3 linked regions of the Astyanax mexicanus genome follow. The protein of the gene in region 1 purifies or fractionates together with the protein of each later gene. This does not show direct contact. Links are inferred from orthologs where the notes say so. Each region holds a gene or a part of one and is shown in the gene's direction. Other genes may lie near its edges.

Region 1 (8,647 bases):
TTAAAGGAAATTATGTTAATGTTATTAGGGTATGTGAATGAGGTCTGCTCTGATTGGTTGCATTAAATTTGACCAGTTTAGTTGAGCAGTTTAGAGTAGAATAACCCATTTAGTGCTATACGGTTACAACTAGATATCTATTGTATTATTGGGACTTAATTAAAGTCTATCTAGTAGGCTACCTGCTGATTTATTTGTATGCTGGCCCAAGGTAAGCTGGCAGACACTGGCTACCCTGCTTTGAAATTGAATGAATATTAAAAATATATTAAAACACATACATTTTAAAAAATGGCGTTCTAACACTAAGGTTTATGTTGTGACGAATTCTAGCTCTGTCAGAATCAGACTTCCCCTTACATAAGGATGCCTGCCACAGCAGAACGGATGAAAAAGATTATCAGCAAACTCCTTTATTTTTGTTTATAAATAAGGATAAATCTATTGTTACATTAATTAAATAAATTCAGTCCAAGCATTTGCGCCTATACTGCTGCTTGATGCGCCTGAGCGCAAAGGGAATGAGGTTTCGGCATGACACCAGCTCTTTTTCCTCTGGTTGGTTTAAAGACTGACTCAATTTCCTGTAAAAGATCCAAAAAAGTTGATCTATCTAGATAAGTGTTTCACACAGATGCAGATGAACCAGTAGATGCAGAATGAGAGCACCTCTTTAAGTCTGACCAAACTCTGGTCCTTTGGACTGGACCGTGGTTCACAACCCCTTTTACACCTGCAGTCTGGACCAAACAAGACAGGTGTGAAACACACACAAAAAGGCAGAAGACAGCCCATTTGATGCTGCATGATAACAATTGAATTCCAAATATATATTGTATTAAGGGACTCAATAATAAATCAGGCTGCCTAGAATTAAAAGGGTGGGTCTTTATATCTTTTGGTGGTATACAGAACACTAGTAAGTAGGAATGAACAATGATATCAATAAATTGTTTGTGGACAATATATTGTCCCATAAATTATAGCAATAAACAAGTTGTCATTTTAACACAATGGCACTGACAATGATAATCTATTAGCATAACAAATACATTATACTCATTTTAAGACAACATTTTAATTAATCATAGTTTGGTAAAATTAATCCTTTATTTTTCATCTCCTGCAGTTTGCACTGTGTGTATAAAGTCAGTTATTAAAGCATTGGTCATTGCATGACTGGCTAAAAAATGTTAACTGTCAATTATCATACAAACAAACAATAATCAAGAGTATCATATATTGTTAAGGTTGTGTTCACTTATTGTTGGATAACTCAATAAAGTAATTATAGTGACAAACATAACTTCAGTTGATAGACACGCTGCTATTTTAAAATACATTAAGTTCAGCCAATCTCTGTTATTAATTCTAAAAGTTACGAATTTATACCAGTATGTGAATTCTTGCTACAAGTTCAACGTGTATATCGGCAGATATGTACGTGTAATATTGAATCAGTATCAGCTCAGAAATTCCATATTGGTGGATCCCTACTTTTCAGACTTAAGTTTTATATTATGTTTTCACACTAATTATTAATACTGGATGGAATTGTATCTCTAAACACAAAATTATCGCCTTAGTCTAACAAATAAAAATATTAATTGTATTACCCTAAACATATGTTATATTGTTATGAAATTTAAATACAAAAAATGGATATAGCTAGTGGTCTTGAATAGCTAGCTAGGCTACAAAATTAGATTACTTTTGGAATTTAATCGAAAAAACAGCTAGGTTAAAATCAGTCAATTGTATCGTCAAGCCTTGAAGGTTAGCCTAGCCACGGCTGCTAGGTTAGCTTCTTATAGGTACTGACCATTCCACCTTAAATGAGGTGCCAGAAACCAGCCAGCTAAACTAATATAGTTCAGCTAGCTAAACTGCTAAGGAATTTAAGGGGAATATAAAAAAATATTAAAAACTTATTTAGCCACGACTGCTAGGTTAGCTTCTTATTAGTACTGACGCTTCCTTAAATGAGGTGACAGGGTTCAGCTAGACACACTAGTTAATTGCTAAGACATTTAAGGTGGAACGAACAATTTAAAAGAAATCAGAAGCGCTTTTACTAGCCAACACCAACCTAGTTAACTTAGGTTGGTGTTGGCTCCACGCCGAATGTGTTAGACAAATATTTTTGATGTATTTTATCAGAAAAGGAGTATTTAAGGTGGAATAACTTACCATTTTGTCTTTAGAGATGGAACTGTAGTTAACAACGTTAGGAAACTGAGCCTTGCTATAAACTGAGCGAGCAGGCTAACGATGTAGCTAAGCTAACCTAGCTAGCTTACTAGCTTATCTCAACACTCTGACACCTACTAGAGCAAACACCTAGCTAAGGAGCTAGCTATAACTTCAAGAAAGAAACGAACGACAATTTAAAATCGAATTAAACCGAATATGAGACTGTTTTCGGTTTCAGCGCCACTAAACTCTGCGTTAGCTCAGCCGGAGCCTGGAGTCAGATCAGTCTGCTCTATTGGAAGCGATTAGCCAGAGCGCTAATGCTAACTCCGCTAGTTTCTCGTCTCTGCTGGAGTTACCGGTCCCCAAACCCGGTTAAAATAAACTAAATAAACTGAAATAAAAGAAACGCAGGAGACTGCAGCGGTGTCGTTGCCTTACTCGCATCAGAAACCGGTTCTGACTTCTTCTTGGCGAGCTAACAGTTCTCTGCTTTTGACACAGGAACAAAAATACGAACAGAGAGAGCACGGCCGCTCCGCCAATCAGCTCCGGCAATAAAACCTGCCTGCAAAAGCCACCGCAGCCGTTCAACCAATCACAGCACACGCAAGGAGTGACGTCGCCGCTCTCAGCGACCACGCAGTCCAGCTGGACCGTAGAATGTGAAAAATGCTCCTCTGCGATTGGCCAGTTTGAATAACTCAGACCCGCCCACACACAGCAGGGGCGAGGCTAAGCATGCAAATATAACTTTCTTTCAATACATAAAAAAACTCTTTAAACGTATAAAGTTTATGTGATGTTTTATATCTTTTATAGAAAAATTAGGGTTCTTTTTTGAGGTTGTTTTTGTGACAGTCTCTGTAAAATACTGATTTATTAATGCTGCTTAATGATTCATAGTAATTAATTAAATAAATGCAATGAGTTTTCTCTACCTACCTACACACCTGCATACTTACATACATATATACTTACACACATATATATATATATATATTTATTGAGTGTGGGCACACACCACTGCCCCGCATCTGTGAGCGTTCCCAGTGTGACAGGACTGAATGTGATGGGGTTAAATGTGACAGGGTTAAGGAGCTGAGTGTGACAGAGTTGAGTATAAAATAGTTGAATGTGACCAGATTGAATATTATAGAATGGAATGTGACAGGTTTGAGTGTGATGGGGTTGAATGTGACTGGGTTGAGTGTGACTGGGTTGAATGTGACAGAGTTGAGTGATGGATGTTTTTGATTTTTCGTGTTCTGGATAAAATGTTTAGAAAAATTCTGAATTATTTGGTAGAAACAGGGACTGGTACGGTGGCCCTCTTTTGTCTATTTTTTATATTGTCTAATCTGGTCTTGAACATCACAATTTGTTTTTTGTCAAAGTATCTCAGATTCCTATGCTTGTTTAATTTTTTCATCCTTTAGCAGATCTGTGTTTAGTGAGGGCTGTGGCCAGTCTATTCAGTCCTCTAGATGGCGCTCCAATATACACAGTGCTTCAGCCTGCTCTCAGAATGCTCTGTTTACCTTAAGATTAGAGGATAAAGGTTGTGTGTTCTGTGAACTACAGTCCCACCACTTACACTGTGTATCTATTCTGAGGAGAGTAAAAAGCCAGTCTGAGATTCTATCTGATTGGGAAACTGAAGGTGTTTGTGATTAATAATATAATATTGGGAAACATGTAAGTCAGCCTGTCAGGGAGAATTATTGACCAGCATCAAAAGTCATTAGATGTTCTTTACAATAGAGTATTATCATCAGTAAGGACACAGAATACCCATCTTTTCTAATTCCATCAATATGGAACAATACCAAATTCTTCAGTACTGTAGACATACATTTAAAAGCTTTAAAACTCCACTTATATGACTTTTAAGAAATGTGTTCTGGCTGTAGAACACATCAGCATCAGAGCAACAATCAATCAGTTACAGTGAGAAATGCTAGCAAATCTGTTATCTAAAAACCTTTGTCGTAGAAGAAAAATGGAAATACATGGGTAGGCTTTCTTTATTTTTAGCAGAAATACTCAGGAATATCCTGAGCTAGTATATATTAAATTTGAGTTTTGTAGTATTATAAATGTAGTAAAATGCAGTATTTTTTGTTAACTTTGTCTAGAACTTAGAAATATGTCATATTCCAGTATAAACTTATTTATTTACTTATACATTATATTTTTTTATTTTGTTTAGTTGTCTAATCTTTACATTACTGTAGCCCATATAAATGTAAACAAATAAAACGAGGAAATAAAAGAACTTTTACCATTTTTATCATTTTTTCTATAGCAATATTTAATAATAACTTTAATCATAGACAGACAGTATTAATTTTGGTTATTCAAGACTTTTTTATATTCTTCATATATACTATATACTATATAGATTTTATGTATATTTTCAAATTTCAGATTCAGATTTTTCTACGTGAATAATATTATTTCCCAGCAATATTCTTTTTTCAGCAATAATAATTTATGTTGCTTTAAGAAAATATCGTCACAGTTCAGGGCGTCAACAACAACAATAGCGCTTCTTCCGGTGTTCTGTCGATTTTATGTTCAGGTACCAAAACCTGCCCCAAATAGAAGCAGGTAGGATCTTTCTATAGGCCAAAAGCATCATATATATATATATATATATATATATATATATATATATATATATATATATATATATATATATATATATATCAATTAAACAGAAGTATAGAATATCGATAGCAGAAGATATTTAGCAAAAATAGAGACATGTTAAAATCTGATAAGATTTTTTTTACTACTAATTTTTTTTGTGTTACTGTTATAAATTGCGAGTTACTCTTTTGTAACACTCAAGCATATAATAACAATAATAATCCGCTAAAAGTGTAAAATTCACACAAGAAAAACAGAATTATCATGAAAATCACATGAAAAGGTTCGAAACGTCTGAATCTGCGCATGCGCATAACGGCAAAGTAGCACATACAGGTGGGTAGCACTATTTGACAGGACACTTACACTCGCTCGGCTCTCAGCTAAATGCTAACACTCAGTAGCATCACCTCACTGAGGGCTGTCGGTTTAGATGTAAATGAAGCGTTTTTATAAGATTATATTTTATTTATGAACTCCTGAGATATCGGCTAAACGTCGTTTTAACTCGTAAGGATTCACAGTTAAAGGTAAGGACAGTTAACGGCTAACTATCTTAGCTAAAGTTAACTAACTAGGGGCGTGTGTGTTTCACTGAGTGCTGCTGTTGATTGGGTGATATTTATTTTTGTGTTATTAAATAATAATAAACGCTAAATATTAGTAGAGAGAGTGTGTTAAAAATGAGTGTGTCTGAGTGTGAATAAGTCCTTGATTGTTTTTTCGAGAAAACGACGTAAACGTTGGCTTTTTTCCACTATAATCATGTTTGAATTAGTCAGTTCCACCTTAAATTATATTATAAGCAATGCTGCGTTTAAGGCGGAACGGAAACTTCGAATGATAAACTAAACCCATTTTAGTGTTTCTAACTTACTTTAATTGTAAACTATGACTGTAACTAATATATGTTTTTGGTAGCTAGTCGATTAATCTGCCGATTATTTAGGTTGTTGACCCAAATCCCTCCCCATCATTTAATTTAATGGAGGCTTGTCTTGTGACATTATATTTAAAGGACCATTAGCGATTTATGTATTCAGTAATATCTCATAACATGACCAGAATGTGTCCTCAGATATTGATGAAACATACTGAGTTTTGGCAATGGCAGCCAATGACAGCTTCAACCAGTATGTTCTTATTTGATTTATACAGTATTTTATGGTATTCTGTGTGGGTTTTAGTCTCTGAATTCCCCCATACCTATTTCCACACTCCGGGTTGCCAGGTATACAACACAACAGCACCCAAACAGTGTACTGCATGAAAATGATTTAGATGACTATGTTTCTGCTGAACAGGTAATCACTGAGCTTCAGTAAGGTTAACTATCCATAGCTGGGAAATTTACCACCTCCATTATCTTAGAAGTAGAGGCGGACATTTGGAACCCAAACTAGTCAGCTAAGATCCGCCGCTGTTCTTATTAGGAGAAAAAAGGCCCTTTAAATTATAAGCACTAAGAATCTTAACTGGCAGAACTAAAATTTAAATACATGTATTTTGTAATATAAATATATATTAATCGAGGTCTGCGTTTTCCTCTCTTATAATAATAGTAATAATAATAATAATAATAATGATAGTAATTAGAGCTGGGTATCGTTTTTAAAATTGTCGATACCAGTAGCTATTCCCAGACAATACTTTTTTCGATACGTTTTTTTTTCTAAATTGTAACCAAAGAAAACAATCATTATTATTACATAGCATTTTTGTGGCACTTTATCAATTATTGTTCTTACGCATATTGCTGTGTGCATTTCACTTTTAAGAAGTTTTAGAAGAGGAAAAATTTCAGCATTACATTGACAAATTAATTTATATTTGTGATGTCAATCACTTAGAAAAAATTATAATATTTTTTAATGCTCTAGTTCCCTGTATTTTTGAGAGGGGGTGTAATAATAGTGCAGTATGGTTTAGGTCAGGCAGACTAGAGCTTTTTACTGTACTTTAATATCTCAGGTTAGGAGAGGCGGGAGACAGCGTGTTAGCAAGAGACAGTGCGAAAGCAAGCTAGGGTCTGAGACCAGACCCTTTTCAATTTATCACAGATAGTTTACTGGCTCAGGCTTTTATCTGCACTTTTATTATGAAATATTAATAATAAATATTAATACATTTGAGTAAAGAGCAATACAGGCTGGACTACTTAAGGATTATTCGTTAAAATGTAATAATTAGCATTTGTCTATTATGTTGACTAATTGTTAACACTGCTGTAATGATGTGTGTGTGTGTGTGTGTGTGTGTGTGTAGGTGGTCAGCTGCCTGTGTGTGAGGGAGAATGAGCGAGGTGGAGGTGTTTCATGAGAAGCAGAGGTTGGAGCTGTGCGCCATCCACGCATTAAACAACGTACTGCAGGAGAGAGTTTTCACTAAAGAGACGGCGGATGAGATCTGCAAGCGGTGAGAATACCCAGCCTCTTCACTCTTACTCACCTGTAGACTTCTGGAGAAATTTGTTTAAAAATTGCAATGTATTTTAGAAGGAAACTAAATATCGCGATACCCTTTTTTATATTATTATTATTATTATTATTATTATTATTATTATATTATATTTATTCTTCTGATAGAACGAAACTTTGTTATAGTTAAAGCTTAAACAATTTTATTAATGGAAAATATTGCATTTTTAAAAATAAAATAAATAAAAAAGCTGTTAGAAGAGAAGATATCTATAGCACTCATTTAGCAAGCACTTAGCCCCATAGCACCTAGGACACAGTTTTGGATAGACAAGATGTTATATTGTTTGTGTTTTTCAGCCTCGCCCCGCAGTGTGTGGTGAACCCGCACCGCTCGGTGTTGGGGACAGGGAACTATGATGTGAACGTGATTATGGCAGCGCTCCAGAGCCGGGGACTGGCCGCAGTGTGGTGGGACAAGCGAAGGTCAGTTTATCAATCATTTACCAAATACCACGTAAATCAAGCATAGTGATCTGTAATAGACACATGCTGCCTGCGTCTGTGGTGTACGCCTGATTACCACAGGCCCGTTGGTCCCATTTGGCTCAAAACACATAATTTTAAAAAAGTCAAACATGTTGGTGGTAGTATCATGGTCTTTGGGCTGATTTGCTGCTTCTGGCTCTTTAAAAAATTACTGTAATTTATGGAACCACGAATTATGCTTTCTACCTGTAAATCCTGAAAAGGTAATATGATTAAAAAAGCTAAAACAAAATGAATCTGTAAGGGGGCATTTTCACAACACGGTACCTGGTAGTTTAAGTGGTGTTCACTATTGACTTAGTAAATACGTGAAATCAGTAGCCTTATCTTATTTACCTATTAAATACACAGTACTTATCATAATGTAAAATAAAGTGTTACCCAAACTTTACTCTCCGTAGTATTAACAAACGATAGATAGCAGAATTGTCTTGGAGTAAGGTTTCGTTTTAAGCCCAGGTAGAGCTGGGCGATGAATCGATTTTATCGGTTAATTCGAATTTACGGTTAAGGACGCTGTGTTTTTATAAAAATCGATTTTCTCTGAGTTTTAATTTTCACCACTGACGCTCCCCTGTGGGGCCCGTACTTTAGACTGAGCTTAGCCCCGCCCCTCCCGCGCACCCCCGCCTCTCTCTCCCTCCCTCCTGCGAGCAACCCACACAACACACGCAACATGACGGCGGAGCTTTTGTTTAGGTTTTTGCGGCATCGGACATAGACCAAACAGGTTCTCGCTGTAAGGTGCGTTTAAACCAATTGCTTCTAAACATAGCAGCGCAACAAATTTATCTCTACACCTTAAACAGAAGCGGAGTGGGAGAAGTGCTGCT
Region 2 (8,852 bases), on another chromosome or scaffold:
GTCATGTTGGGGGCAAGTCATAAGGAGTTTAGAGCACCTTTGTTTCAATAAAATATTGATATTTAACCCCTGCATGCGACAATAATATGGGATATTGCAATAACCTTTTGAGCCCCAGTCTCATTTTGAGTTGATAATGTTAAAACAGAATGTTCAGTACCTACTTTTAATTTGATTATGTACTGATTATTCACTCTAAAAGCAATACTTTAATAAGTAATAGTAATTGTTTAATATTATTGTCCGTATTAACATACTTTTAAAGAGCAAATATAAATAGTTATGTTTATCGTATAAATTCTACAGCTGTGCATTTCAACATTAGTCGTGTGTATTTTATTGTTCTGATTTAATGAGTGTTTGTCTTCTTCTTTTGCAGATCCTTATGCATATTCTGTGCACATACCTGGACTCCAGACTTCCTCCGCACCCTAAGTACCCAGATGGGAAAACCTTCACATCACAGCATTTTATTCAGACACCACACAAACCAGGTAAGTCAGTCAGACAGACAAAGTCTGTCCAATGTTATGTTATGTATATATGGTGACAAAGGTATGATATTTTTGTGTGCTATAATGGTATCTTTGAGCTTTTTTGATTTTACCAAATAAAAAACACTGCAATATAATCAAGAGAAAGATGGATGATCACAAGCCATTAAACCAAGCTGAACTGCTGGCATTTTTGCACTAGGAGTGGCATAACATTATCCTAAAGCAGTGTGTAAGACTGGTGGAGGAGAACTTGCCAAGATGCATGAAAACTGTAGTTAAAAACCAGGGTTATTCCACCAAATATTGATTTCTGCACTCTTAAAACTTTATGAATATGAACTTGTTTTCTTTGCATTATTTAAGGGCTGAAAGTTCTTCGTCTGTTTTGTTATTTCTCATTTTCTGCAAATGAAAGCTCTGAATGACAGTATTTTTGTTTGAAGTTTGTAATAAATGTTTTCTGTAGTTTATAGAATAAAACAACAATGTTCATTTTACTCAAACATCAACAAAATCAGAGAAATTGAATGTCATTATACTTTTTTTTTTGTTTTCCAATCCCGGTATTAAGCAAATGTTCACAGTGTCATCAAAAACTGCTGACAGTCAAGTTACATTTTTTTTATTTAAGCCCACTTTGTGTGTGTTTTAAACAGATCTTTCCAACGAGAACCTCTTCTGCATTCACCAAAGCAGCACCAACCCACCCCACTATCAGCTTATCTATCAGGGCCACATCTACAGCCTGCCTAAGGTACAGTGTGTTCTTACTTTACCTCTCGCAGTGCCTGCAATTGCAGCCGAGGAGAATTACCTTCATTCCTCTGACTCATTTTTGGTGTGCCTTTGTGTACAGGGAAGAAATAACTTGTTCCACACGGTCCTCATGTTCCTTTTCATCATCAAAACCAAGGAGTCGGGGATGCTGGGGTGAGTGTGATTTAAGTCCTCTCTGTTGGCACTCAACGTGAGTTGAGTAACTTTCTCAGTGCTCAGAGTTGTGAAATGATCATGAATCTCACAGCGCAGGATGGAAAAGATTTATTTAGCATGTTTCTTAATTTTTCTTTGCAGGAGAGTCAATCTGGGCCTTTCTGGAGTGAATGTTCTTTGGATATTTGGGAACTAATCTCATCACAAGTTACAGCTGAAGTAACTGGAACACTGACGGGGTCACTTGAAGAGCAATATGTTGCACAAGTCTGCACAAGCCTTTTTTTACTATTATTATTTACTTGTAGAATTTGTAGTGACGTTGCATGCTTTAAGGGGACATGCACAGTGCTTTGGTTCTTTAACCAGGAACTTTATCCCAGCTGTAGCCCAGCGTGAGACACTGAATAATTTTAAGTTCTGGGAAGAATGTGGTTTTAAATAGCAACACTCTTTACAGAAAACTAGCAGGAGCTTAGATTACAGAGTGGGTCGACAGAGAAACAGTTCTGTTCTGCCTTTGTATATAATTCTGCATGTTGCAGAACTTTCTTTCGAATGTGTGTAAAGTGGTGTATTTTTTATATATAAATATGGGAATGTGAATTGTTTACTCAGGCTTTGGCTTTAGCTTGGTGTGCATTGTATATGCTGTGCTGCATTTTTAATATAAAGGTGCTTTAGACGTTTCATATGCATATGCTATTGAAGAACCACTTTTGGATTTATAAATATAGATCTAGGAGTTTTTACATTAAGTTCTTTAGATCTTTTAAGGGAACATGAAAAGTGGTTCTTCTCTGGCATTGCTCACAGTGCCATTAAAACATTGGTTACCAATCCTGCTCTTGGAGATCAACTGTCTGAAGTGACTGTTCACAAATTATTTGAATGTGAACAGATTGGATTTGTGTGTCATTTTTGACACTCTTGTTGAATCCCTGCACTTCTGTCGCTCTTGATATGATGAGCTTGTTGTGTATCGTGTTGTAAGTTAAGCAAAATACACTTTGGAATCTGATTTAAGTGTCGAGAGCATCCAGACTCAGATGCATCTGTACAAATCTGATTGTAATCAGGTTTACGAAAGTTAGATTTCATGTGATTTTTAGCAGTCTAGACTATCAAAAGAATTTGGATACAGTCTAGATATGCGAAAGATTGGATTTGAACTTGCAGTTTGAACATAGTCCCACACATATCCTATATAACTATTCGGGCTCTCCTGAGGCTGTAATTTAGAGTGATTGTGTGGAACTGGTTAGTTTAAGGTTGGACCTGAACTCTCCAGGAGAAAAGTTGGTGACCCCTGCATCAGACAAGCAATTATTTTTTTCAGACACTTTCTGTTTTTAATATTTTTGCTCATATCTTTTACTTAAACCTCATATTAAAAAGTGGAACCACTTGACCCCATTCTGAATGATTGCACCATCTTCATCAGCTAAAGCTCTTTCCAGAGCAAGCAGTCAGCCCTAAACACTAGCCTGGAGATTTTGTTCCCAAAGGAGGCAATTGGTTTGTTTACAAAAGTACCCAAGTAGCTAACCATAGTTTTCCACAGACAAGGGCTGTTGGAGTGGGTAATTATTTTAATAACACCAAAGCTTCTGTTGTTGTGCATGTGATTGTGGTTTGCAGCAGCGATGTACTGTATGTTTTACTTTGTGTAATTTTGCACATGTGCAGTAGATAAGACCTGTAGTTACTTTTTAAAGCAGTGCCAAATAATACATTGTGATGCTAAAAGCTCTATACCATTTACCTCTTTAGGTTAAGGGAGTAAACATCTTCAAATGTTTGTCACAGTCTCTTTCACAGCTGGATTGTTACATGGCAGAGCACTGTTTGCTGCTCTTCACTTTAGCAAAAGGGCTTTTGTAAACACTTATAGGGCAGTGTACGTCAATGTTTTTTCCAACATCACCTGCTAAAAAACTATTTGTATCTTCAGCTCTTTAGGAAAAGCACAGCAACATTTTGATCTGAAATGAACTGTAATAAATTAAACTTTTCACATTGTCCAATATTCCATTGTCCTTTATTGTGAACATTTTTGTTGGTGCTCACTCTATACCATTTGCATTCATGGGATTCATCTAATGCATAGCTTATTCATTTTATTCATAGCAATTTACTTTTAATTAATGTTAGAGAGAGAAGAATGTACAGTTTTTTTATTGGTGTAGTATGGTCAGGTAATTGAACCATAGTGTATCACACAAAATTCTGCACCAATAAATAAAATAGAATACCTGTCACACATTTTATAATATATTGTCATTTTTAATGTGTAGTCATACAAGTTTGCCCAAGGGTTTAATTGGTGTAGCCTGGTCTGGGAATTGAAAAGTCTGCCATGGGTAGTGTGGTGCAGCTGATCTGAGATCATTTACACTCCTCACTTTTATCTCTTAAGAGAATTTATTGTTTTTGCATTACCAATATGTTTATCATGCTCTGTGATCTTGTGCAAAGAAATTAGGAAAAATAATGTCGGCATTTACTTCAGCAAAAAAAACATACTGTACTAAAGAAATTGGTGCATTGGTCGACCCTCATTCTGTGTCGTTCTAGGTTAGAAGCATGAATATTTTCTGTAATGCTGCGGGGTTGTTAGACTGCATTAATGTGTGTGCGTTTCTCCACTGGATGGCAGTATATTGTTCAGGAATACTTCACTCAGTGATCCATGTTAATGGCATTTTCTAGTGCTTTATATAAATAATATTTCTCCCATTTGACTTATGTTATTTAGTGGTTTTGAGACATTTTAAAGGTTACTGTGGGTATTTGTGCAATATGTGTCATATCTTGTTCTAACATTCCAGTTCTACATAGATTTTGGTTGCAATTGTGTTACAAAAAGGACAGCATAGAAAATTACAGCATCCTAAAAAGGTAAGACACAAAACATTTGTGATTGTGAAGATCAGTGTATAATTGCGTGTAAGTATGTGATCTCTTTTTAATTTGTGGTTATTTGAAATAAACAGATACATAGATAGATCATATTGATCAATTTAGGAGGGATTATTATAGTACACACAAAGAATAGAACAAAAATATAATAAAGTGAAATGTTTCAGCAAAAGAGGTATTGCACATAATTATTGCACTTTGTGTAATATTATTGCACATAGTCTGGTTTATGTTATGATCGGTCTACTGCTCCTTCCCATCTGTTCTCTTGTCCTACAGTCCAGTGGCTTTAGGGACAAAGAAGGTTTTTTTTTTTTTTTTATCACAGTAATCCTATTCAAGTTTTACAGATTGTACGTACTCTAGTAGAAAAGAATGTTTCCTTTATTTAAACCAGACTATCACATTAATAAAATGTTCCTTTGTTTAATAAATCATTCCCTTGTTTTAGTTAAAGTGTCCCTCTAAATTGGATGAACTAATTATCACATTTTTGTTCAGTAGAGTGAATTATTTCTTCCAGTAAGTGAAGTATTGTGTCTGGCTAAATATTACAGCTCTGGAAAAAAATAAGTGACCACTTAAAAGTGATGAGTTTCTGTGATTTTACCAAATTGAAAACCTCTGGGATATAAGCAGTGTGTAAGACTGGTGGAGGAGAACATGCCAAGATGCATGAAAACTGTGATTAAAAACCCAGGGTATTCCACTAAATGTTTCTAAACTCTTAAATCTTTATGAAAATGAACTTTGTTTTCTTTGCATTATTTGAGGTCTGAAAGCTAAATGACAACATTTTTATTTGGAATTTAGGATGAATGTTGTCCGTAGTCTATAGAATAAAAAAACAATGTTCATTTTACTCAAACATATACCTATAAATAGCACATGGTGTATAGTACTCTGGTGTACTGAATTGACAACATTGCTGGTTTATATATAAGGTGTTAGCCTTTCTTTTTATTCTAAATACCACTTGATGAGAAACAATTAAACTGTTTATTTATTTTAGTATAAATAAAAAAAATATTCTGTGGTGAATTATCGTGAGGAACCAGAGTGAGAGTTTTGCGAGTGAGAGTCGGTGAAGACTACATGTCCCACAGTGCTGTGCGGTTAATCTCTCAGCCAGTGGTGTCGGCTCGTGAGTCTCTTCGCTGTGCTGAGTGAGAAAGGACTGGATTGCAGCGATGTCAGTTCAGGTTGTAGCAGCGAAAATGGCCGAGGTCGAATTAAAAGACGTCCCGAATAAAGAGCTGAGCGCCGTGTCGCCGCGGACACCCATAGCCGAGGAGAAGGGTTTGTCTAACAGCGAGCTGAACGCCTCGGCTCCGTCCCCCACAGCGGACACCGCGGTGGTGAAGGGGGACCCGAGTCCGCTCAGCTCGACGCCGAACGCAGTGAAGATGCCCCAGGCGTCCGCGATGAAGCGGCCGGACCCGCAGCAGAACGGCGGAGAGGCGTTCGTTAACCGGGATGGCACGGTGGCGGAGGCTCCCCGGATGAAAAAGGTACGGCGGACATGTTTTTAGTTATATGTCAAGAGTTTATTTTATTTAAAACGGGACCTGTGGGGAAACATCCTGGCGTGTTGGTTAGGTTAGCTTGCCGAGCTAGCGCTAGCTATGTCATTGTGTGTGTGGAGACCACTGGCGTTAGTTTAGTAGTTAGCATGGATAGCTAACGGTCTGAATTAAAGGGCTGTCTGTCACCTTGCCAGGATTCAGACTCACTTGCTTTATTTAGTGTGTTTGACAACAGGGAACAGATGCGGAATAATTAACCTAACTAGCTAAATACCGAGTTTTTGGTCATTTAATAAAGGTGGCCAATTTAATAACGTAGTCCGCAGTGCGTTGTCGTGGCGCTGTGTGTTACATTACGTGTAAGGTAGGTTGACTAACGCAATAGCTTAGCGTTAGAGCTAGCTAGCTATATTTTTTGCTTTTGTATACGAACTAAATAATTATTATTTTTACTAAGGTATGACTTAAATTAGGTTTAAATAATTAGCTCTGGTGCGTGTCCACAATATTAAGTTTGTTATAACGCTCCTGAAGGTAAAATAACTTAACTTAACGTTTGCTAACCTAACGTTAGGTTATCTAGGTTATAACAGGAACCAGTCCTGAAAAACCTAGAAAAGTAATTTAATTTGAAAATAGCAAGTTCCAGGCCTGGATAAGCTTTGGAAAAATTATAATAGTTTTGGTAAAGTCATGGAAATGTACAGTCTGCAAATATAACGACTGAGAAAAGCTATTTTGAGCTAACAAATACATCAGCTCAGATTTAGTTCAGTAATATAGCCCTTTACAATGGCGATCTCACGATCTAACATATTTTATTATTGAAGATCGTGTCAACATTGCTTAAAGTTTTTTTTTATCTTTATAGTTTTAGTGTTTTTTGTTTTGTTTTATTGTCCATGTCTGCGCTGATGTTTTAACGTATTGTCATGAAAATTTGCCATGAAGACATGGAAAAAGTAGTGGAAATTTATTTGTCACAAAATGTATGAAGCCAGTTATAATAATTAAGTGAGAATTGATAGAAAAGATATCCTAATTAGCTAGCTCAAATAAGCTGAATTAAAGCTGATTTAAAGCCCGGTACCCTGGTTCTAATAATACCTGTGCGATGCAGTAGCCTCGTAATTTATAGCTGGCTTCATACAAGCTACATAAAGGTAGCAAATAAAGTTTCAACTAACGATTTTTTTGGTAGTCCACTAATCTGACGATTTTTTTTTATTATTATTCAACGATTATTTGTAATGCCCTCCATACCTATCTGCTTCCTGTTTTTGATTCATCTTGCTGTTTTATTCTCTGCCTTCACATAAATAAACATAGCATAGCATACATTCTAACATCAAACTAAATTGACACATTAAACACAAATATAAAGTGATAACATAATCAGATTGATTTTTTTTTATTTAATAACATCATGTTATCACAATAACAATGAAATAAATGAATTCAAAAAGCAACCTCTGCCCTAGCAGTAAGCTGTAGACACCTAAGTCATAAAGCTATGTAATGCAGTTTATCACAGGCTGGCTATGGTCAATTTTCTCATTACAAATTAACAAATAATTGACAATGAAATTTTTAGTCAGCAAATTATTACGATTATGCTAGCTTTTTGTTGTGCCAGGTTTGCTTCAGCCACTGACAGCCCTGATTTTTGCTTCTTTGTGGCCTTAAGCAACCATCTGCATCTCAAGCCATTCATAAATATATGTAATTACCAGCTATTATTTAGATTCATTTAGATACTGTATTAAAGTGTAAGTACAGTAGACTTCTTTAATAAAAGAATGCACTCCTGGCTTCTTAGCATGCAAGGCAGCAAGTGGCATCTGTACTCATCATCCATTGCATGGCTTACCATGGGGGAATCTTTAGCATCAGCCTACACACTGTTACAGCAAGGTCATTCAGATCGTTCTTGGGAACTGCTGGAACATTCAGTCTCCTCATCACTGTTTATGAGGGAGGGAAAAAAGCATAGAGACAGGAGGATGTTCCTTAGCTTGCTTACAGAGTACATCTTGTGAAATGTTCGCTCCTCCAGGCAGAGCAGCATTCATCCCTCAGATCTCACTGGAGGAAATTGTGTTCTGAAAAGCATTTCAGGTATTTTACTATTCGGAACATCTCATTTCTAAAACAGCAAATCCGTCCTGCTCCACCATTTTGTGCCAGTGATGCTGAGTCATTCCTAGCTGGTGACCACCAGCCATCCATAAAGCACAGCAGGGGCATAAGCACAGCATAAGCTGTGACCCTGCTGAATTTGTAACCTCTCTATCATAAGCTTTAAGCAGCCAGGGAGAAGACCATGTACTTAATGGAATTTTCACCCTGCTGGCTTTCCCTGCTGGGCTGCTCAAGGGAGTGTCTGTAACTGGGATGTGTGTTCAGATGCACAACTCTAGAAATATATTTCTGTGCAAATGCGTACTTATATGTCCTGCTACACTTGGTTGGCACTAGGTATGCACCTGCTTAGAAACTATTATTATTATTTTTATTATTCTGATTTGTTAAGAATCGTATATACATATTTTCCCCTTACTTGATCACACTGACATCTTTATTAAAAACGTTTTGTGAGGCTGGATTTTCCTGTATTAGCATTATAGAAATGGTGCATGTGATTAACAGTACTGCCTTCCCTGAGACAGATAATGGTCTTTTTTTATTCCTTATAAATTCTCTTTCTTATATTTTCGTATAATGCTTATGCTGGACTACAGTTTTCTGTAGCATGGATATGAGTATGGATATTTGCAGATTCCTTTCTCCATAGGAATGAATTGGATACAGCATTGTGGCACTTTGGAGTATAATGCTGATATAATACCCAAAGACCCAGCCATTCATATAGGGGGTACAACAGCCACTACCTGGGACACCACAGCAACCACTCTAGATGCACCAACTACAACAATCAGCTTGCCATGCTGTAGCATCCATCTAGCATCTGTTT
Region 3 (8,100 bases), on another chromosome or scaffold:
TTCACTTTCCTCCTGAATAACTCCTGAAGAAGCCCCTTGGAAATACAACCAGCCCCCAAAAATGGAGAAAAAATAAATACAGTGCATATTGTGAAACCAGCACTTAGGCCCTGTTCACACTACACGACTTTAGGCCTGATTCGACTGTATTTAGAGGCTTCCATTAAAACAACACTTTGTTGTTTGCTCGTTTTTTTCGGTGTGTAAACTGGTTAAAAAGAAAGGTATGATCCGAGTGAACAGTAAATATCTAGCAGGTTGAAAATCTGCACCTGTGGGCGACTCTAAATTCGGTACTGTGAAAAGTGTTGCAACTGGACGACTTGCTAGAGCACGGGGTGAGGAGAAAGCCGAGTCTTCATCCATTATTTTTTTTTGTACTTATTCATATTCTTTTGTTTTATTTCAGCGTGCTTTCGCTGTAAATCAGCACACAGACAATGTTGTATTGTATACATCTGGAATATGGTAGCACCTTAGTGCTTAGTGTTTTTGCATATGTTTTTGGCTACGTTCACACAGCAGGCAAGTGAAAGTGTCGCAAATAAATATATTTATTAAAGGCTGTTTACGCAATCTTTTAAAGGTGACCCATATGTGACATTTGCTTAAGCAGTTCATGTTTCTAAACTGAGTGCATGCTCAAAATTACAGCGCTTCAAGTGAAGTTTCGGTTTCATCTTTTTACAGAATCTCAGCAGCTATACAGCATTTTATCTCACTGTGAAAAATGGACTCAGAAAAATTACTCAGCCACGGACATTAATTTGATTTGGTTTGTGTCCTTGGTTTCTTTTAAGCTGTTTATTTTCCATTCTCACTGCATTCGGCCATTTTTTATGTTAAAAAACACAGTGATTGTGATACTAGCCTTCTAATTCACACTGCCACATAAGTGACGTCTGTCACGGATTTGTGCCACATTTACCTGCTGTGTGAACGCTGCCTTTGCCGTGTGTTCCTCTTGGTGAGAGACTCTTGTGTAATCCATGATTCTGTGTCGCCGATTACAACATTACAAGTTGACGACTCTGAAACTCGTGTAGTGTGAACCTGACATTACTTAATGCAGCTCCAGCCCAGTGTCTTTTGCCTCCTCTTTGCACGTTCAGCCATAAGTGAGGGCCTGGATTTAATCCTGGTTTTAACCAGTGCCAGTAGTGACAAGCAAAAAGGAGCATCATTACATTACCTTCAGAGATTAGCCAATAATTCGGTTTGTACAAAAGCTAAACTACAAGGCTAACGGGAAAACACAGGCTTGGATATCTGTGATATGTTCTTCAGAACTGACCATAGAACAAATGTACTGGGGTTAGTTGTTAGTGTATAAAGATTATTTTAAGTTACTCAGATTCATAATTTTGTCTCCTGCTTGTTTTTTTGTCATGTGGCGCTTTTGCATATGAACCAGAAAAAAAATGTTTTAAAAAGTAAGATGGGTAGTGAGGGTAGCGAGTCATGTGACCCAGTTAGTGCAAAACTGTGTTGTTGTTTTTTTCTTGTTGCATAATAACCCAAAGTGTATTGGTATATTGTGTGATCTGTGTAGTTGGTGTTTTTTTTTTTTGTTTTTCTTCAGTGAAAGAATGTGTTGAAAAGGGGAATGAAGAGGGGTGGGTTAAAGCATGGAATTTTGCAATTCATCCCCCTGTTCTCCAAGTGGGGGCTTCTTTCTGCCTCTGGCCCACAGCCTTGTACATTTATTGCTTGTAACATGAACACTTTTTTACATTCAAATTTTGATAATCTTAATGGAATTTGTAATTTAGATGAATTAGAGGAAAGTTGTCATACCGCAAAATCTACCATTGTTCTCTGTCGCCGATGGTCTTTTTGCACTACACGTCTTCCCATCTTATTTGAAACAGCCATTTTTTAATCCCTCTCCCCTAATTCTGCCCTGGCAGGTAAATGTAGATACTTTTTTTGAGGAATTACGTTAGACGTTGAAGTCTTTGAACATGCTGTATTTTGATTAAATTGTGTCCGGTCAGTGGCAAACATCCACATTTCGTGTGATCGTGCTTCCCCCCCCCCCCCCCCTCTCCCTGTCTAATCCGTGTGAGCGCTTGTAGTACTGTTTGAGGCTGTAAATGATCTTAATTCTGTGAAGTTGAGGTCTGTCCTGTAATCCTCTTAGCTCCGTGGAGTGAAAGCAGAGATTTTAGAGCCCTAATGTGCTGCCAGTTTCTTCATATTAGTTTCTGTTGCTCTACTGCATTCCTGCTCTGTGTTAGGAATATGTTTGTTTCAGTGCCTTTTGAGACCAAAGGCATTGTGTGAATGGTAACTTTACACCAAACTTCGGTTACAAGTCTAAGGCAGGGTTTGTAGGGCCGTGAAAAACCTGGAAAAGTCATTTGAAAAGAACAAGTTCTAGGCCTGAATACGTTTTGGAAACATACAAAAATACCCAGACAGTTTTGGTAAATGGTTATGGAAATTTGCAATTCACAAATGTGACTGAGATTTATCGACTGAGAAAAGCTATTTTAAGCTAACCAATACCTCAGCTTAGAGTTAATTCAGTAATTTAGCTTTACACAATGGAGCTCTCAGGATCTGACACCACGCACATTTTATTATTTTGAAGATTGTGTTAACATTGTTAATTTTTTTTTATATATATATAATTTTAGTTTTAGTTGATTTTTGGTTTTATTCTCCATGTCTGCACTGATGTTTTCCAAATATCAAATTTTTAATTTATTTGTGACATACATAGTAATACACAGTATGATCTGCAGTGAAGTGCTTGGAATGACAGTCTACTCACACAATATTATTAAGCTAAATTTTTTAACTTTTAAACTACACAATTTGAAGTGCTAAAATTCTAATGTACAAAATATCTAGGTAGAAAGAATAAAATACAACAGATTACAATATAAAAACCTGCAGTCAACAAAACATATAAACAAAGATAGCAAAAATAATTTAAACAAAAGAAAAAATGATAAAATTTACTTTAAATATAATTTATAAATAGAAAAAAAGTGTATGCTACAGCAAATGAGATAATGGACCGTGGCATTCCCACTTGTCTCATCATAGCACTACCTACTGTCATCACTTTCTTAACGATACGTAAACATATTAAACAAAGGATGTCCCAATCCAGTTCAGTTTATTGAGTATCAGCTGTTTTAATCACAGTCCAGTTCCAGCTCTGAGGAGAGTTCTCAGAAGGTAAATGAATTTTTTAAATTAGAGTCAGACTATAGTCTTTATTTTTTTCTACATATTTTATTATCCTACACCAGCTACTATTTGGGTGGTGGGTCATTCTGCATTCAGCACTGCAGTGAAACTGGCATGGTTTTGTTTTAGGTTTGTGCTGTACTGGTTCAATCTAGCAATCTAGAAACTCATCTGTTGTTGCTTCACAATTTGTGTTGGTCATCCTCTAGTTCAGCAGTGATCACAGGATGCTGCTCACAGGACACTGCCCACAGGGAGCTGTTGGCTGGGTACTTGGTTGGTGGCCTAATAAACAAAAAAATATGCAGAGAAAAAGTTACAGGACTACAGGCTGATACTAAATCTCCACATTGATTCTAATTGCTTAATGAAGCTGACAAAATTGAAAATGGATGTAGAAACAAGGAGATGGTCATAATATTCTGTATACATATACACCACTTCAGTTTCCAAATCAGTTTCTCTCATTTTGCTATTTATAGGTATATGTTTGAGTAAAATGAAAATTGTTGTTTTATTCTATAAACCACAGCCAACATTTCTCCTAAATTCCAAAAATATTATATTTAGAGCTTTTATGTGCAGAAAATGAGAAATTGATGAAATAACAAAAAAGAAGCAGAGCTTTTGGACCTCAAAAAATGCAAAGAAAACATGTTTATATTCCTAGAGTTAAGAGTTCAGAAATCAATATTTGGTGGAATAACCCTGGTTTTTATTCACAGTTTTTATGCATCTTGGCATTTTCTCCTCCACCAGTCTTACACACTGCTTTTGGATAACTTTATGCCTTTACTCCTGGTCCAAAAATTCAAGCAGTTCAGCTTGGTTTGATCTTCCTCTTGATTATATTCCAGAGGTTTTCAACTTGGTAAAATCAAGAAAAACATCATTAAGGTTTTACAGAGCTGTATATAGGCTCCTGTGGTGCGGCCTAAGCTTTTGTTCTTAATAGCATTTTTTCCCCTTATATTACTTTTACTGTTATACTTTAAGTAGTTTTATATCCAGTACTTTTACACTTGTTCTTGAGTAAAAAGCTTGAGATCATACTTCAAGTATGTATTTAAAACCTAGTATCTATACTTTCACCTTCAGAGGAATGAATGTGAATTCTTTTTACACTTTTGAGTCTCAGCCTAAAGTTGAAAACTAAACTTGACTCAAGTGAGTGAATCAAGGAATCGTTTATTCAGACGTTTGATTCCTTTAAACTGACTCTAACTCTTTTCTGCATCATTTCTCTCTAAACTACTGTACTAACTGCTCCACTGTCTGGCTTAGTATGATTTTTTTTAAGGTCACGTGACCGCCGCTCTCGCCCCGCCCCCCCGGTCTCTGCGTGCAGGTGCTTGTATGTAAGCCCCGCCCACTGCTGATGCTGCCTGCCTGTCCGGAGCCGGAGAGCCGCGAGTAATAATCTGTGATCAGCTCCGCTCTGAGAGAGAAACCCCGCCGGTAACCTCGAGCTCAGCACCGCCGCAGCGCGTCTACCGGCGCTTAGACCGAGACCGCGGCTTCTCTTCCGCAGCGACACTCCGTGTGTGTGTGGTGTTCTCGGCCGGAGCTCGCGCGCTTCCTCTGGAAGCGGTAGTTCGGTCAGAGCGCGGAGCTAGAGGACAAAACGGAAGGTTACGGGAACATTAGCGAACCGAGCGGTCCTAGTCCCGGCCCAACCGGAGAGACCCGCGAGCTCAGCATGACGGAACCCGGCGTGGAGGCGAAGCTGGAGGTGAAGCAGGCGAGCAAGGAGTTCAAGGAGAGCGAGAACGTGGCGGAGAAGTACTCCGCGATGACCGTCTCCAAGAACAGCGATGTGAACATGAACGTGGGCGAGCTGTCCGCCGCATTCACCGCCGTCCCCGCGCACAAGTCCGTCAAGAAGGTAAGAGAGCCGCTACCGGCTAACCGACACTACTGGCTAACTGACACTACTGTACCGGGGAGCGAGCTGATAATACCGGGGTAAAGCTCTGATAGCTGGGGCTGCTGTCAGACCGGGACAGGTAAACTAGATTCATCTTTCATCCTCACCCAGCAGCCCCACTCCCCCATTCTACTCACTATACTACACTATACTCACTATACTACACTCCCCATCCTGCTCACGATACCCTCTATACTACATTCTACACTTCCTATCCTGCTCACTATACTACACTCCTTATACTACGTTTTACTCACTATACTACACCTGACACTCCCCATCCTGCTCACTGTACTCACTATACTACAATATACTCACTACACTGCACTCCCTATCCTGCTCACTATACTACAATCCTTATACTACATTATACTCACTATAGTACATCTAACACTCCCCATCCTGCTCACTATACTACACTATACTTCACTCCCCATTCTGCTCACTATACTTACTGTACTGCACTATACTCATTATACTACAGCCGGCACTCCCCATCCTTCTCACTATACTACATTATACTCTCTATACTACACTCTATACTCCCTATCCTGCTCACTATACTACACTCCTTAAACATTACACTCACTATACTACACACGACACTCGCCATCCTGCTCACTATACTGCACTACACTACACTACTATACTACACGGTACTCATTATACTACACTGCACTCACTATACAACACCCCAACCCTCATACTCAATGTACTACACGCTACTCACTATATTCGCTATATTACACCCCAAACTTCATACTCCCCATACTCACTATATTGCAACCCCCTCATCATACTCAATGTACTACACTATACTTACTATATACCCTAACCATCATACTCACTGTACTACACTATACTCACTGTACTACACCCCAAACCTTATACTAACTATATTAGACTGCAACCCTCATATTAACCATACTCGTTATTTGCACTATACTACACCCCAACCCTCATACTCTCTATACTACACCCCAACCCTCATACTCACTATATCCTACACTCCAACAGGCTGACTATTGCTGTGTGCACACTTATAACTAAACATGCTATTTACCAGAACCCTTTATAATCTTATTCCACAGGTACTCACACAGTCCCAGTCAAACCTTTCAGAGACACCTCTTGTCATTCAATGTGTTATTTTTTATACTTTTAATGTCACAAACCTGTCATAAATGTTTAATTGTCATAAATCATCCTGCATATATACAGGACAATGCTGCTGATGTTTACAGGATAGTTTTCCAAATTAAAGTTTTTTTTTGTATAATTCTCATCCCAAATATATATATATATCTTATTTGTCTACTATTCTCATAGACTACACTGTGTTGGTCTTACAGTGAAGGACTTTTAACCTTTTTACAGTAAAAGCATTAATGTAAGAGCAGCAGACCTCAGACCTACCATTCTAAACATTTCAATAAATGTTGATTCAATGTCAGAATTTCAACACCCACCGATGCCTGTTGGGCAATGTTGAATAAATCTAGTTTAAATGTTTTTTCCCCCTCATCAACCTTTAAAGATGCAATGCATCCAAACAAATATTGTGTATTCAATGTTCTTTGCTGTTGGGAAAAGCCTGTAGCTAGAAATGATGGGATCTATATACAGTGGTAGAGAAAAAACTGTATAGTATAAGCTGAGGGATCAGCATGTCAGAAATGTCCGTCTATAACAGGCCTGCCTAACCTGCTCACAGAGGCACATCCACCCTGCAGAGTTTAGCTTAGTCCCAGTCCTGATCTACAGGTGTACAGGTGAAGCTCATAGGGAGGGGGATACGGGCAGGACTGGGCATCACTGTGGGCGAGTGTACGGCTACTGTAAACAGAAACGTTGTTGGTGCTTATTTTCTCTTCCAGGGATGTCAATGAACTCTTCATGATCAGCCAATACTGATCTGATCTTTTCTGTTTAAAACGAGGGATTCACTGAATTTCACACCAAATAATTTGTCCAGAAATGCAACAAAAATAATACATCCAGTGTTAAATAATTATTTTTAAATAGAGATGGCCCATTAGGTCCCATTGTTTTGATTGAGAATTTTTTAAACTCAGATTTTGCAAATATGATGCTGTGGTTTTTTTTGCAGTATGTCACATTGTTACAGTATTGTGATATACAGGGGTTGGACAATAAAACTGAAACACCTGTCATTTTAGTTCATTAATTGCACATTGCACCAGTAAGAGCAGAGTGTGAAGGTTTAATAAGCAGGGTAAGAGCACAGTTCTGTTCGAAATATTGCAATGCACACTATAACATTATGGGTGACATACCAGAGTTCAAAAGAGGACAAGTTGTTGGTGCACATCTTGCTGGTGCATCTGTGACCAAGACAGCAAGTCTTTTTGATGCATCAGGAGCCACGGTATCAAGGATAATGTCAGCATACCACCAAGAAGGACCAACCACATCCAACAGGATTAACTGTGGACGCTGTAAGAGGAAGCTGTCTGAAAGGGATGTTCGGGTGCTAACCCGGATTGTATCCAAAAAATATAAAACCACGGCTGATCAAATCACGGCAGAACTCAATGTGCACCTCAACTCTCCTGTTTCCACCAGAACTGTCCGTCAGGACAATAAATTATTGTGGTCTAAAACCAGCTGTTTCAGTTTCATTGTCCAACCCCTGTATTTAATTGTAACTACTGTATCGTAATATGTGTTAAATCGCCAAGTTCAGCTCTTTTTTATATTTGGAATCAGCCTCTTTAAAACACTCTTTAAAATACATCTTTTTACAGCCTCTTTAAAATACCTCCTACAGAACTTCACGGTTTGTCTCACAAAAAGAGCTTCTTATCCAGCACTAAAGTAATCATTTTGAATGGGACCCTGTTTGTTTTAGGACTGAATTTGTGCTGTGCTAATACATACCTACTGTACAGCCTAAAAGATGCACTCTTGAGAGGGCTATCCGGTTAGTGATGTTAGAAGTCTTTATT

What was found.
Region 2: the proteins of josd2 (region 1) and ahcyl2b purify together in Homo sapiens (affinity purification with mass spectrometry; 3 studies listed by BioGRID and IntAct, counting the BioPlex papers as one, with this or other methods). This does not show direct contact. The link is inferred for Astyanax mexicanus from reciprocal best matches to the Homo sapiens genes JOSD2 and AHCYL2.
Region 3: the proteins of josd2 (region 1) and ahcyl1 purify together in Homo sapiens (affinity purification with mass spectrometry; 4 studies listed by BioGRID and IntAct, counting the BioPlex papers as one, with this or other methods). This does not show direct contact. The link is inferred for Astyanax mexicanus from reciprocal best matches to the Homo sapiens genes JOSD2 and AHCYL1.

Annotation. Positions count from the first base shown.
Region 1 is NC_064413.1:7,914,232-7,922,878, forward strand, and holds the start of josd2 (josephin-2), read left to right. Parts: upstream 1-5,206; 5' UTR 5,207-5,378; intron 5,379-7,113; 5' UTR 7,114-7,141; coding exon 7,142-7,263; intron 7,264-7,625; coding exon 7,626-7,751; intron 7,752-8,647. Other genes in the region: ube2s (ubiquitin-conjugating enzyme E2 S), read right to left, coding at 2,191-2,193. UniProt on the Homo sapiens protein: Cleaves 'Lys-63'-linked poly-ubiquitin chains, and with lesser efficiency 'Lys-48'-linked poly-ubiquitin chains (in vitro). May act as a deubiquitinating enzyme.
Region 2 is NC_064409.1:14,490,346-14,499,197, forward strand, and holds the start of ahcyl2b (adenosylhomocysteinase like 2b), read left to right. Parts: upstream 1-5,481; 5' UTR 5,482-5,542; coding exon 5,543-5,863; intron 5,864-8,852. Other genes in the region: tmem209 (transmembrane protein 209), read left to right, coding at 380-494, 1,154-1,251, 1,354-1,427, 1,572-1,626. UniProt on the Homo sapiens protein: May regulate the electrogenic sodium/bicarbonate cotransporter SLC4A4 activity and Mg(2+)-sensitivity. On the contrary of its homolog AHCYL1, does not regulate ITPR1 sensitivity to inositol 1,4,5-trisphosphate.
Region 3 is NC_064419.1:41,595,001-41,603,100, reverse strand, and holds the start of ahcyl1 (S-adenosylhomocysteine hydrolase-like protein 1), read left to right. Parts: upstream 1-4,577; 5' UTR 4,578-4,903; coding exon 4,904-5,089; intron 5,090-8,100. UniProt on the Homo sapiens protein: Multifaceted cellular regulator which coordinates several essential cellular functions including regulation of epithelial HCO3(-) and fluid secretion, mRNA processing and DNA replication.